2 linked regions of the Saccharomyces cerevisiae S288C genome follow. Changing the gene in region 1 together with any one later gene gives a genetic interaction. Each region holds a gene or a part of one and is shown in the gene's direction. Other genes may lie near its edges. The genes, in order: BI4 and NAM2.

The links.
Region 2: of BI4 (region 1) and NAM2, changing one suppresses a phenotype caused by changing the other (phenotypic suppression), as found in Saccharomyces cerevisiae (one study listed by BioGRID).

The regions. Positions count from the first base shown.
Region 1 is NC_001224.1:34,327-42,560, forward strand, and holds BI4 (intron-encoded RNA maturase bI4), read left to right. Parts: upstream 1-2,213; coding exon 2,214-2,628; intron 2,629-3,396; coding exon 3,397-3,410; coding exon of another isoform or gene 3,411-4,253; intron 4,254-4,814; coding exon 4,815-4,891; coding exon of another isoform or gene 4,892-5,939; intron 5,940-6,514; coding exon 6,515-7,925; downstream 7,926-8,234. Other genes in the region: cytochrome b mRNA maturase bI3, read left to right, coding at 2,214-2,628, 3,397-3,410, 4,815-5,939; cytochrome b mRNA maturase bI2, read left to right, coding at 2,214-2,628, 3,397-4,253; COB (cytochrome b), read left to right, coding at 2,214-2,628, 3,397-3,410, 4,815-4,891, 6,515-6,764, 8,182-8,232. UniProt on the Saccharomyces cerevisiae protein: Mitochondrial mRNA maturase required for splicing of intron 4 of the cytochrome b (COB) gene, containing its own coding sequence, and intron 4 in COX1, coding for the related homing endonuclease aI4.
Region 2 is NC_001144.5:881,248-886,323, reverse strand, and holds NAM2 (leucine--tRNA ligase NAM2), read left to right. Parts: upstream 1-1,572; coding exon 1,573-4,257; downstream 4,258-5,076. Other genes in the region: DNA repair protein SMC6, read right to left, coding at 1-1,036; CTF3 (Ctf3p), read right to left, coding at 4,400-5,076. UniProt on the Saccharomyces cerevisiae protein: Catalyzes the attachment of leucine to tRNA(Leu) in the mitochondrion.

The DNA.
Region 1 (8,234 bases):
AGAAATAATAATATAATATATAATAAAATATAACTTATTAATATAATATTAAAAATATAATTAACAAGAATAAATAGTCCGTGGGATCGAACCCCCTTTTTTATTTAATATTTAATATTTAAAGAAGGAATTGTTTATATATATTAATATCTTATTTGGGGATTAATATAATATATAAGTTTTGGATACCAGGCCAAAGACCGGAATCCCAAAAGGAGATTATATAAATATTATTTATCTCCCTTTTTTAATATTATAATAATTTTATTAAAAATAAAATAATAATAATAATTATAATTTATAATAACAATTATAATAATTTAATTAATTAATTAATTAATTAATTAATTAATTAATTAATTAATAATAAATATAAATATAAAAAGAATATAATTTATAATAAATAAATTTATATATATATATATATATTAAATAAAATATTTACTTCATTAATATAAAATATAAATATATTTAATTAATAAGTATATATATATAATAATATATAATAACCTATTTATATATATAATCTTAATATAATTATAAGAAATATTATATAAGTAATATATAAAAATAATATAAAATAATTATAATTCAATTTATATATTAATAGTTCCGGGGCCCGGCCACGGGAGCCGGAACCCCGAAAGGAGGAATAAGATAAATATATAAATTATATTAATAAATATAAATTTTAAATGAATTAATAAAATTAATATATATATGTATATATATATATATATTAAAAATATTTAATTATTTTTAGGAAGGAGTGATAGATCCCTTTGGGGGACCGAACCCCTATTTAAGAAGGAGTGCGGGACCCCGTGGGAACCGAACCCCTTTTTTATTTAAAGAAGAAGTTTTATTTTATTTTATTTTATTTTATTTTATTTTATTTTATTTTATTTTATTTTATTTTATTTAATTTAATTTTAATTAGGTTAATAAATAGTAATAATAAACTTAATAATAATAATAATAATTTTATTTTTATAATTTATTAATAATAATAATAATTATATATATATATATTATTAATAAATATAGACCTTATCGTCTAATGGTTACGACATCACCTCTTCATGTTGATAATATCGGTTCGATTCCGATTAAGGTTATTCATAATAATAAATATTTGTAAAAAAAGTATATATAATTAAACATATTCTTTATATTAATTAATAATTATTAATAATATACATTTTATATAATACAATTATATATATATATATATTTTTTTTTAATACAAATAATATATTCATAATAATAAATACCGATTGTTATTATACTATAATAAAATATATAATATATTTTTCATTATAATATTTTTAAATAAATATTATAATAAATTATATAAATAATATTTATGTATAATAATAATAATAATAATTGTTATTAATTAATTCTATAATTATTATATATTTAATTTTTTTTTTTAATATAATATATAATAATATAATTTATTTTATTTTTTTTTATAGTTCCGGGGCCCGGTCACGGGAGCCGGAACCCCGAAAGGAGAATATAAATTAATAATAATATAAATAACATATTAACAATAAATTATTGTTAATATAATAATAATAATAACAATATTAATAAATAATATAAAAATTATTAATATTATATTTATATAATATTAATATAAAAATCTTTCATAATATTAATTATTATTAAATAATAATGATATCATTAATATTAATATAATCGTCAATATTATTTATTTATTTATTTATTTATTTATTTATTTATTTATTTATTATTAAATAAATATTTTTAAATATTATATTATATTATTAACTTTTTATTAAAAAAATTAATAATGATATAATATAATTAATATTATCCACGGGACCAATGACCAACCCAGTAGTTGACCGGATTGGCGCCCGCGAGGTTTATATTTAATAAATAATAATAATAATATTAATAAAATCTATTAACTTTTTTTTTTAATGGATTATATTAATGAAAAAAAAATGAGAAATATCTTTTTTTTTTAATAATTATAATTTATATATAATAAAATATGTATATATAATAAAAAAATAGTTTTTAATATTATAATATAATTATATATATAATTATAAATATATATATATATAATAAGTATTAATTAATAATATATATTTATATATTTTTTATTAATTAATATATATAAAATATTAGTAATAAATAATATTATTAATATTTTATAAATAAATAATAATAATATGGCATTTAGAAAATCAAATGTGTATTTAAGTTTAGTGAATAGTTATATTATTGATTCACCACAACCATCATCAATTAATTATTGATGAAATATGGGTTCATTATTAGGTTTATGTTTAGTTATTCAAATTGTAACAGGTATTTTTATGGCTATGCATTATTCATCTAATATTGAATTAGCTTTTTCATCTGTTGAACATATTATAAGAGATGTGCATAATGGTTATATTTTAAGATATTTACATGCAAATGGTGCATCATTCTTTTTTATGGTAATGTTTATGCATATGGCTAAAGGTTTATATTATGGTTCATATAGATCACCAAGAGTACTATTATGAAATGTAGGTGTTATTATTTTCATTTTAACTATTGCTACAGCTTTTTTAGGTTATTGTTGTGTTTATGGACAGAGTGAGACAAGTATAAGTATATTATTATAATATCATACCATTAAATAAATTATTTTAATGAAATGATTATGTTTATATATAACATATACCTAATTAGACATGCATTATTAGTAATAATTTTGTATGAAACTCTAATAATAATAATTATTATTAATTATTAAGGTAAGATTCATATGGATAGCGTAAGTCAATCTAATATTATAAAATATCGTAACATAAACAATATTTTTTTCTATTATTAATTAATAAATAATAATAAATAAAAATAATTATATGAGAAGTAAGATATTCAATTCTGTCTAGAATACATATATATACGTTAATACTCATCGGTATAAAATTAGAATCCTAAGTGAATTATTGAAAGTATAATAATATAAACTTGGTAAGCCCAATTATTTCCATATAATATTAATATAAATATTATATGGTAGTTATATATAATATTATTAAATAAATAATAATAGAAATTATAATATAGATAAGTGGGTAAAAGACTATTGAAAAAGCTAAAGATTATATGTAATGTATAATATAGATCAAATTATTTATATATTTTAATAAAAATATATTAATAATGGTTAATATTATTATTAATTAATTAATTAATTAATTAATAATAATAACGAATAAATGATTAATGTGAAAGCATGCTAACTTCAATATAGGATGATTTATATAGTATATAAATTGTTTGAGCTGTATACTATGAAAGTAGTACGTACAGTTCTGAGTGGGGGAAAATTTGTAAAGATCTACCTATCACAATTGTCACATTGAGGTAATATAAATATCGCCTCAAATATATTTAATATAATAAAACTAATTTATATAATAATGTTAATATTATTAATTTATATTTTTTATACGATTATAATAAGACAAATAATAAAAACTAAAGAATATCTTATATTAATTAAGAGTATAGATTATATTAATAAAAATAAATATATAATTAATTTAAATATAACAAATAAGAAAGATATAAATAATAATATTGGTCCATTAAATATAAACATTTTATCAATTATTTATGGTTCAATATTAGGAGATGGTCATGCTGAAAAAAGAAAAGGTGGTAAAGGAACAAGAATTGTATTTCAACAAGAATATTGTAATATTAATTATTTATATTATTTACATAGTTTATTAGCTAATTTAGGTTATTGTAATACTAATTTACCTTTAATTAAAACTAGATTAGGTAAAAAAGGTAAAATTAGACAATATTTAAAATTTAATACATGAACTTATGATTCATTTAATATGATTTATTCAGAATGGTATATTAAAAATATATCTGGAAAAGGTAATATTAAAGTTATTCCTAAATCTTTAGACAATTATTTAACTCCTTTAGCTTTAGCTATTTGAATTATAGATGATGGATGTAAATTAGGTAAAGGTTTAAAATTCACAACTAATTGTTTTAGTTATAAAGATGTTCAATATTTACTTTATTTATTACATAATAAATATAATATTAAATCTACTATTCTTAAAGGCAATAAAGAAAATACACAATTTGTTATTTATGTATGAAAAGAATCTATACCTATTTTAACTAAAATTGTATCTCCTTATATTATTCCTAGTATAAAATATAAATTAGGTAATTATTTATAATAAAATATATAGTATTATATTAATTATTATATTATTATAATGCGATATTATTGAAAACATGTCAAAATTATATTATTAAGTAACAAGACAGTGGGTTATATAATTATATGATCCCAACAGAATACACCAATAATAGGTATTATTATAAAAAAAATAATAATATTTAATGTTTATTCGAAGAAAATTTATAATATTATTATTATAACACAAGGTTTAATAATCTATATATATATATTATATATATAACTACTGTTATTATTCCATTTACCTAATTAATATATAAATAATGAATTATAATTATTATGATTAATATTTTTATAATAATAACCCCATCATAACATTTATATATAACATTTATATATAACATTTATATATAATATTTATATTATGGTATTATTAGGTATAAATATTTATTCATAAGAGAAAATAGTGATTAAATGGAATTATAAAAAGGGTAGATATTATTAAATACAGGGTATTATTTATATTAATAAATCAATAAATATTGAGATTATTATTATTAAAAAATAATAATAATTTATAAATAATATTATTTTCTTGGCACTAGTTATTACTAATTTATTCTCAGCAATTCCATTTGTAGGTAACGATATTGTATCTTGATTATGAGGTGGGTTTAATATAGAGGATCCATATTATAGTAATATAATATTAAATAAATCTGTTTTATGCTGAAATATCTTCATTTGAATAATAAATTACTATATTATTCAATTAATTATTTATAATAATATAATTTGAAATAAAAATAATATAGTTAAAATATTTATTATAAGAAGAAAATTAGCAGTAATTAATATATATATATATATAAAATTAATTATTCAGAGACTTTATAGTTATTATATAAATAATACTATTATTTATGATAAAAATCATAAATTAAACACAGATAATCCTATTTATGCATATATTGGTGGTTTATTTGAAGGAGATGGTTGAATTACTATTTCAAAAAAAGGTAAATATTTATTATATGAATTAGGTATTGAAATACATATTAGAGATATTCAATTATTATATAAAATTAAAAATATTTTAGGTATTGGTAAAGTAACAATTAAAAAATTAAAAATAAAAGATGGTACTATTAAAGAAATATGTAAATTTAATGTAAGAAATAAAAATCATTTAAAGAATATTATTATTCCTATTTTTGATAAATATCCTATATTAACTAATAAACATTATGATTATTTATATTTTAAAGATAATTTATTAAAAGATATTAAATATTATAATGATTTATCTTATTATTTACGTCCTATTAAACCATTTAATACTCTTGAAGATATTTTAAATAAAAATTATTTTTCTTCATGATTAATTGGTTTTTTTGAAGCTGAAAGTTGTTTTAGTATTTATAAACCTATAAATAAAAAAATAAAACTTGCTAGTTTTGAAGTATCTCAAAATAATAGTATAGAAGTTATATTAGCTATTAAATCATATTTAAAAATTACTCAAAATATTTATACAGATAAATTTAATAATTCAAGAATAACACTTAAAAGTATTAATGGTATTAAAAATGTTGTAATATTTATTAATAATAACCCTATTAAATTATTAGGTTATAAAAAATTACAATATTTATTATTCTTAAAAGATTTACGTCTTATTCTTAAATATAATAATTATTTTAAAATTCCTCCTAAATATTAATCTTATATAAAAATATAATAATAATATATTTATATATTATATAATTATATAAACAAAATATAATTTATATATAATTATTTATTATAAATATAGTCCGGCCCGCCCCGCGGGGCGGACCCCGGAGGAGTGAGGGACCCCTCCCTATTCTAACGGGAGGGGGACCGAACCCCGAAGGAGTTTAATTATATATTAAATATATTATTATCAATAAATAATTCCTTTGAACTATTTATTATTTTATTATATTTATTTTCTCCTTCATTATTAATTTTTATTAATAATTAAAATCTTATCATTTTATGGTATTTTTATTTCTATTTTAGGATATCGAAACTATAAATTAAAAAGTATAATTTTATTAATTATAATTTATGATTAATAAATAAGAAATAAAAACTTTAGAAGTAATATTTATCTTTTTTTTTTATAAATAAATATTATGATTAATATATAATCATTTATAAATATTTATATATAATTATATATATACATAAATAGGATTAAGATATAGTCCGAACAATATAGTGATATATTGATAATAGTTTTCAAATATGTAACTATTTAAACATTAAAAGCTCAGTATCTAACCCTCTAATCCAGAGATTCTTTGCGTTACATTATTTAGTACCTTTTATCATTGCTGCAATGGTTATTATGCATTTAATGGCATTACATATTCATGGTTCATCTAATCCATTAGGTATTACAGGTAATTTAGATAGAATTCCAATGCATTCATACTTTATTTTTAAAGATTTAGTAACTGTTTTCTTATTTATGTTAATTTTAGCATTATTTGTATTCTATTCACCTAATACTTTAGGTCAAAATATGGCCTTATTATTAATTACATATGTAATTAATATTTTATGTGCTGTATGCTGGAAATCTTTATTTATTAAATATCAATGAAAAATTTATAATAAAACTCTATATTATTTTATTATTCAAAATATTTTAAATACAAAACAATTAAATAATTTCGTATTAAAATTTAATTGAACAAAGCAATATAATAAAATAAATATTGTAAGTGATTTATTTAATCCCAATAGAGTAAAATATTATTATAAAGAAGATAATCAGCAGGTAACCAATATAAATTCTTCTAATACTCACTTAACGAGTAATAAAAAGAATTTATTAGTAGATACTTCAGAGACTACACGCACACTAAAAAATAAATTTAATTATTTATTAAATATTTTTAATATAAAAAAAATAAATCAAATTATTCTTAAAAGACATTATAGTATTTATAAAGATAGTAATATTAGATTTAACCAATGATTGGCCGGTTTAATTGACGGAGATGGTTATTTTTGTATTACTAAAAATAAATATGCATCTTGTGAAATTCTTGTAGAATTAAAAGATGAAAAAATGTTAAGACAAATCCAAGATAAATTTGGTGGTTCTGTAAAATTAAGATCAGGTGTTAAGGCTATTAGATATAGATTACAAAATAAAGAAGGTATAATTAAATTAATTAATGCCGTTAATGGTAATATTCGTAATAGTAAAAGATTAGTACAATTTAATAAAGTATGTATTTTATTAAATATCGATTTTAAAGAACCTATTAAATTAACTAAAGATAATGCTTGATTTATAGGGTTCTTTGATGCTGATGGTACTATTAATTATTATTATTCCGGTAAATTAAAAATTAGACCTCAATTAACTATTAGCGTTACAAATAAATATTTACATGATGTTGAATACTATAGAGAAGTATTTGGTGGTAATATTTATTTTGATAAAGCTAAAAATGGTTATTTTAAATGATCTATTAATAATAAAGAATTACATAATATTTTTTATCTTTATAATAAAAGTTGTCCTTCTAAATCTAATAAAGGTAAACGTTTATTTTTAATTGATAAATTTTATTATTTATATGATTTATTAGCTTTTAAAGCACCTCATAATACTGCTTTATATAAAGCTTGATTAAAATTTAATGAAAAATGAAATAATAATTAAATTTTCTCCGTATTCATTATTATATTATCTAATTTATAAAATATTTAAAGATTCCTTATAATAATATAACATCTTTGTAAATTATTGTTAAAGATAATATAAATTATTATGAATCGGTAGATTATATTTTTACAATCTTATTAAATAAAATTCTGATCATTAAACATGATTGAAGAAATAATAATAGTTTATGAAATAAGATAGTGTAATATAAATTTTTATGAAGATATAGTCCATTTTATATTTATTATAAAAGCATCCTGATAACTATATTCCTGGTAATCCTTTAGTAACACCAGCATCTATTGA
Region 2 (5,076 bases), on another chromosome or scaffold:
TCCTAATTTTCTCAGTAACTTCATCAACTTTCTGTTGAATGCCACTGATTTCATTCTCTAAATTTTTACAAGCATCTGTATTATGGGCAACATCGATCCATAACGATTTCGCTTGCAAAAGCATTTTCCTTTCGTTCAAGTCTGAAGTCTGATTTAATTCCCTTAACAGTTTTTTGGCATCTTCGTATTCAGCTTTCAAAGACTTCAAATTCTCCAGGTGCAGAGCCATATTTTCTTGTGCACTATCGTGAATAGCACTGGCGTAAAGCAAATTCTCGGTAATTTCTTGAAGTAAAGTACCCTTCATAAAATGGCTATACTTATCCTGTGAGGTACTAGCAGTTAAGAAAGACCTAGCAGCGTCTTGTGACAGGAAACACATGGGGTTGCTTACAGGAACAGAAAAATAGTCCACTACCGTCTGAATATCCTTTTTCTTATTGCTAATTTCCTTGCCGTTTTCCGACCTTAAACTAAAAGAAGCGGGCCCATCTCTCTTAATTATCCTTTCTACTATAATTTCGTTACCAAAAATACCTTGCTGATAAGCACCATACTTGCTATTATCCAGATGAAGGATGATTTTAGCAGAATAACAACCTTCACGAATCAAATCCTTCAAAGAGGAACCTCTGTTAGTCTCGCTAGCCTTGGCTCCCAAACCAATAGTAATGGCGGTCAAAATTGCACTTTTACCACTACCATTATTACCAACAATAAAATTCAGCCTAGAACCAAGCTCAAGTTCAAAATGTTCATGGCACATAAAGTTTCGCAAGATCACTTTCTTAATATATCCTGAAGGTGACTCTTCCAAAAAGTTATCTTGATCCGCCGTGGCCACGTCAGAGGAGCTCCTAAACCCGCTGTCTTCATCTAGTGTATTGCTGTTAAACTGTGTCATGGGGGCAAATTGATGACGTCTGCGTTTTCTCTGCTGCTGCTGCTCTTCGTTTTCCTGCTGCGCAGTCAGTGAAAGTAGCTCATCATCAACCTGCTCTATAGGTCTTTTACCACTAATCGTAGTCGAAATCATACCATTTAGCAATCTAACAAGAATATGCTCTTTATTATTATTAACAGCAGCTACTTATCTCTTGCGAACCTATATGCCTCTTGTCTTTTTTTCTTATTATGAACTTCACTACATGAAATATAAATATTCATGTTGATAGATCCAAACATTGAAATTTAGTATACGCGACGCGTTTTTGGCAAGTTTAACTTAGAATTTTCACTATAAAACAGAAATTTTGATAAAACTTGGATGAAAATGTTCCTTTTGCCTAACTATCAAATACCACAGAAAAATCTTTAATACCATGCCATACTACTCCTGGTCTGTTCATGAACTTGCTTGACATTTCCCTACCTCTGACACACTTTTTGATCCAAGAATCTCATTTCTTATCTCCGCGAAGAATCAAAGAAACCGAAGAAAGTCGTTTTGTTGCTCCGGTGGAGAATCAAGAACTTGGAGGAAGGAGCACAGCAGAGTGTTAAACAAGGCGCTAGTACTCTATATTGTAGAGTCTGTACGTGAATAAATCGACGTGTGTGTACGGTGGAAAAATGCTGTCTCGACCTTCAAGCCGATTCCTATCCACTAAAAGGGGCCCTGGACCTGCAGTGAAAAAATTAATTGCAATTGGGGAGAAATGGAAACAGAAGACAACCCGTGGCTTGCCTAAGCAGGATACTCTGAATAGCGGGTCGAAATATATTCTGTGCCAGTTTCCATATCCTTCTGGGGCGCTTCACATAGGACATCTCCGAGTTTATGTCATTAGCGACTCTTTGAATAGATTTTACAAACAAAAAGGGTACAACGTGATACATCCGATGGGATGGGATGCTTTTGGGTTACCTGCCGAGAACGCTGCTATAGAAAGAAGCATTAATCCGGCCATATGGACTAGGGACAATATTGCAAAAATGAAACAACAAATGCAAAGTATGCTGGCAAATTTTGATTGGGACAGAGAAATAACTACATGTGATCCCGAATACTATAAATTCACCCAATGGATTTTCTTAAAACTTTTTGAAAATGGCTTAGCTTATCGTAAAGAAGCAGAAATTAATTGGGATCCCGTTGATATGACAGTTTTGGCTAATGAACAAGTGGATGCCCAGGGCCGTTCTTGGAGATCAGGGGCTATTGTGGAAAAGAAGCAGCTAAAACAGTGGTTTTTGGGAATAACGAAATTCGCTCCTAAATTGAAAAAGCACTTGAACCAACTGAAGGACTGGCCTTCCAACGTGAAGCAAATGCAAAAAAATTGGATAGGCGAATCTGTGGGTGCAGAATTAGTGTTCAAAGTTGCGGACCCCAAATTTGAAAACTTGATTGTCTTTACAACAAGACCGGAAACTCTTTTTGCTGTACAGTATGTTGCTCTCGCATTAGACCACCCAATTGTACAAAAATACTGCGAGGAAATGCCGGATTTAAAAGAGTTTATACAGAAAAGTGATCAATTACCAAACGATACGAAGGAAGGATTTCAGTTACCTAACATAAAGGCCGTAAATCCCTTAACTAAAGAGGAAGTCCCCATATTTGCAGCTCCATATGTGGTCAGCAGCTATGGTTCAGCACCTAGTGCAGTAATGGGTTGTCCAGGACACGATAACCGAGATTTTGAGTTTTGGCAAACAAATTGTCCTGGTGAACATATCAAGACGTGCATAGCACCTTTTTTTGACGATGCTTCAAAAGTAACTGAACAGGAAAGACAAAGAATAATTGATACTGTCCCGTTCACATCTACTGACGGTGTCCTAACCAAAGAATGCGGAGAACACTCAGGAGTTCTCACTGTAGTGGCAAGGAAATCGATAATGGGGATGTTGAATAGCGAAGGACTGTCTAAGAGCGTCGTTAGATACAAAATTAGAGATTGGCTGATAAGTAGACAAAGATACTGGGGTACTCCAATACCCATCATTCACTGCGACAACTGTGGACCTGTCCCCGTTCCAGAAAGTGATCTACCTGTCAAGCTACCAGAACTTGAAGGCTTGGATACAAAAGGGAATCCGCTGTCCACAATCGATGAATTTGTAAATGTCGCCTGTCCTTCATGCGGGAGCCCTGCGAAAAGAGAAACTGACACCATGGATACTTTTATCGATAGTTCTTGGTATTATTTCAGATTCTTGGATCCCAAAAACACTTCAAAACCATTTGATCGTGAAATTGCAAGTAAAAATATGCCGGTTGATATTTATATTGGTGGAGTAGAACATGCTATCTTACACTTGTTATACTCAAGGTTTATTGCTAAATTTCTCGGATCTATCAATGCATGGAGCGACCCTGCTGGCATCTTCGAACCATTCAAAAAACTGGTGACACAAGGAATGGTTCAAGGGAAAACCTATGTTGACCCCGATTCTGGTAAATTTTTGAAGCCTGACGAGTTAACCTTTGTAAATGACTCTCCAGATGGCAACACAGTGATTATTAAATCAAATGGCAAGGTTCCGGTAGTCTCTTATGAAAAAATGTCGAAATCTAAATACAATGGTGCAGATCCAAATGAATGTATTTTAAGACATGGACCTGATGCTACGAGAGCACATATCCTCTTCCAAAGTCCAATTGCAGATGCCCTGAATTGGGATGAATCCAAGATTGTTGGTATAGAACGTTGGTTGCAGAAGGTTCTTCATTTGACCAAAAATATTCTCAGTCTCGAGAAGGATTTGGCAATAAGTAAAGACTACAAGACCCCGACCGACTTAAATGATGCAGAAGTGAAATTTCACAACGATTTCCAACGCTTCTTGAAATCAATTACGGAATCATTTGAAGTTAATCTATCGTTAAACACTGTAATATCTGATTATATGAAGCTAACCAATATTTTAGAAAGTGCATTGAAAAAAGGTGAAGTAAGGAATGAAATGATAGTACAGAATTTACAAAAGTTGGTAACCGTTATATATCCTGCTGTCCCGTCAATTTCAGAAGAAGCTGCAGAGATGATCAACTCCCAAATGGAATGGAACCAATACCGCTGGCCAGAAGTTGAGCGCACTACTGAGTCCAAATTCAAAAAGTTTCAAATTGTGGTAAATGGCAGAGTCAAATTCATGTACACGGCTGACAAAAACTTTTTGAAATTAGGTAGGGATGCTGTTATTGAAACTTTGATGAACTTACCGGAAGGGAGAATGTATTTGATGAATAAAAAAATCAAAAAATTTGTCATGAAATTCAATGTGATTAGTTTCTTATTCCACAAGTAATCATATGACGCCATGAATTTACCACTAGTGCTTGTAAATAGTTAAATATTAATGCCTTATAGATATAAATTGTCCAATCTCCTTTTTGGAAGTTATAATATATATATATATATATATATGTATATAAATGTGGATGCATATTCTAAGAATTTTGAACGCTATACTTTGAGAGACTCTTCAAATATGTAAACAAGAATGCTGCAATGTCTCTATATGGATTAGCAGTGTTACTCAAATGCATTAAAATCTTTACTCTCAAGTCGTGAATGTTATTAACGCCCTTTATCCAACCATGCTGGCCAATCTCATCATGATGAACTCGAAAGAAATTGTTAAACGTCTCTTCATTTATGATCCCACTGGTGAATTTTATTTTGGTATTTTCGGCCGTTTCCAGTCGTCTTAGAATAATAATACATATGTAGGATAGCGCTGGTATACCAGTTATCGTGAAAAATTTAGCGTTCTTGAAGTCTGCAGTTGGGATATAAAGATTCTCCAAAATCTGCTTAAAGAAATCTGGTGAGACTCCAAACAAACTTTTGGATGACAGAACTTTATTCCTGTAAAGATAATTTGTCAAATCCATGATATATTGGTTCTGCATCCGAACGAATTTGTTTGTTGACGGGTATTGCATCAATTTATTTTTCGTAGCAACCAAGTACCTGCACGCAGCTGATAATAGCAAAGGATCGTCCGAACTGAACACTTTATTCATGATGTCAGGGCCCACAATCAAATATTGGATCGCATAATCCGACTTCGTTTGTTTCGACAGTTGAGTTAAAATATCTAACGAGCTGATGAAAGCCATCG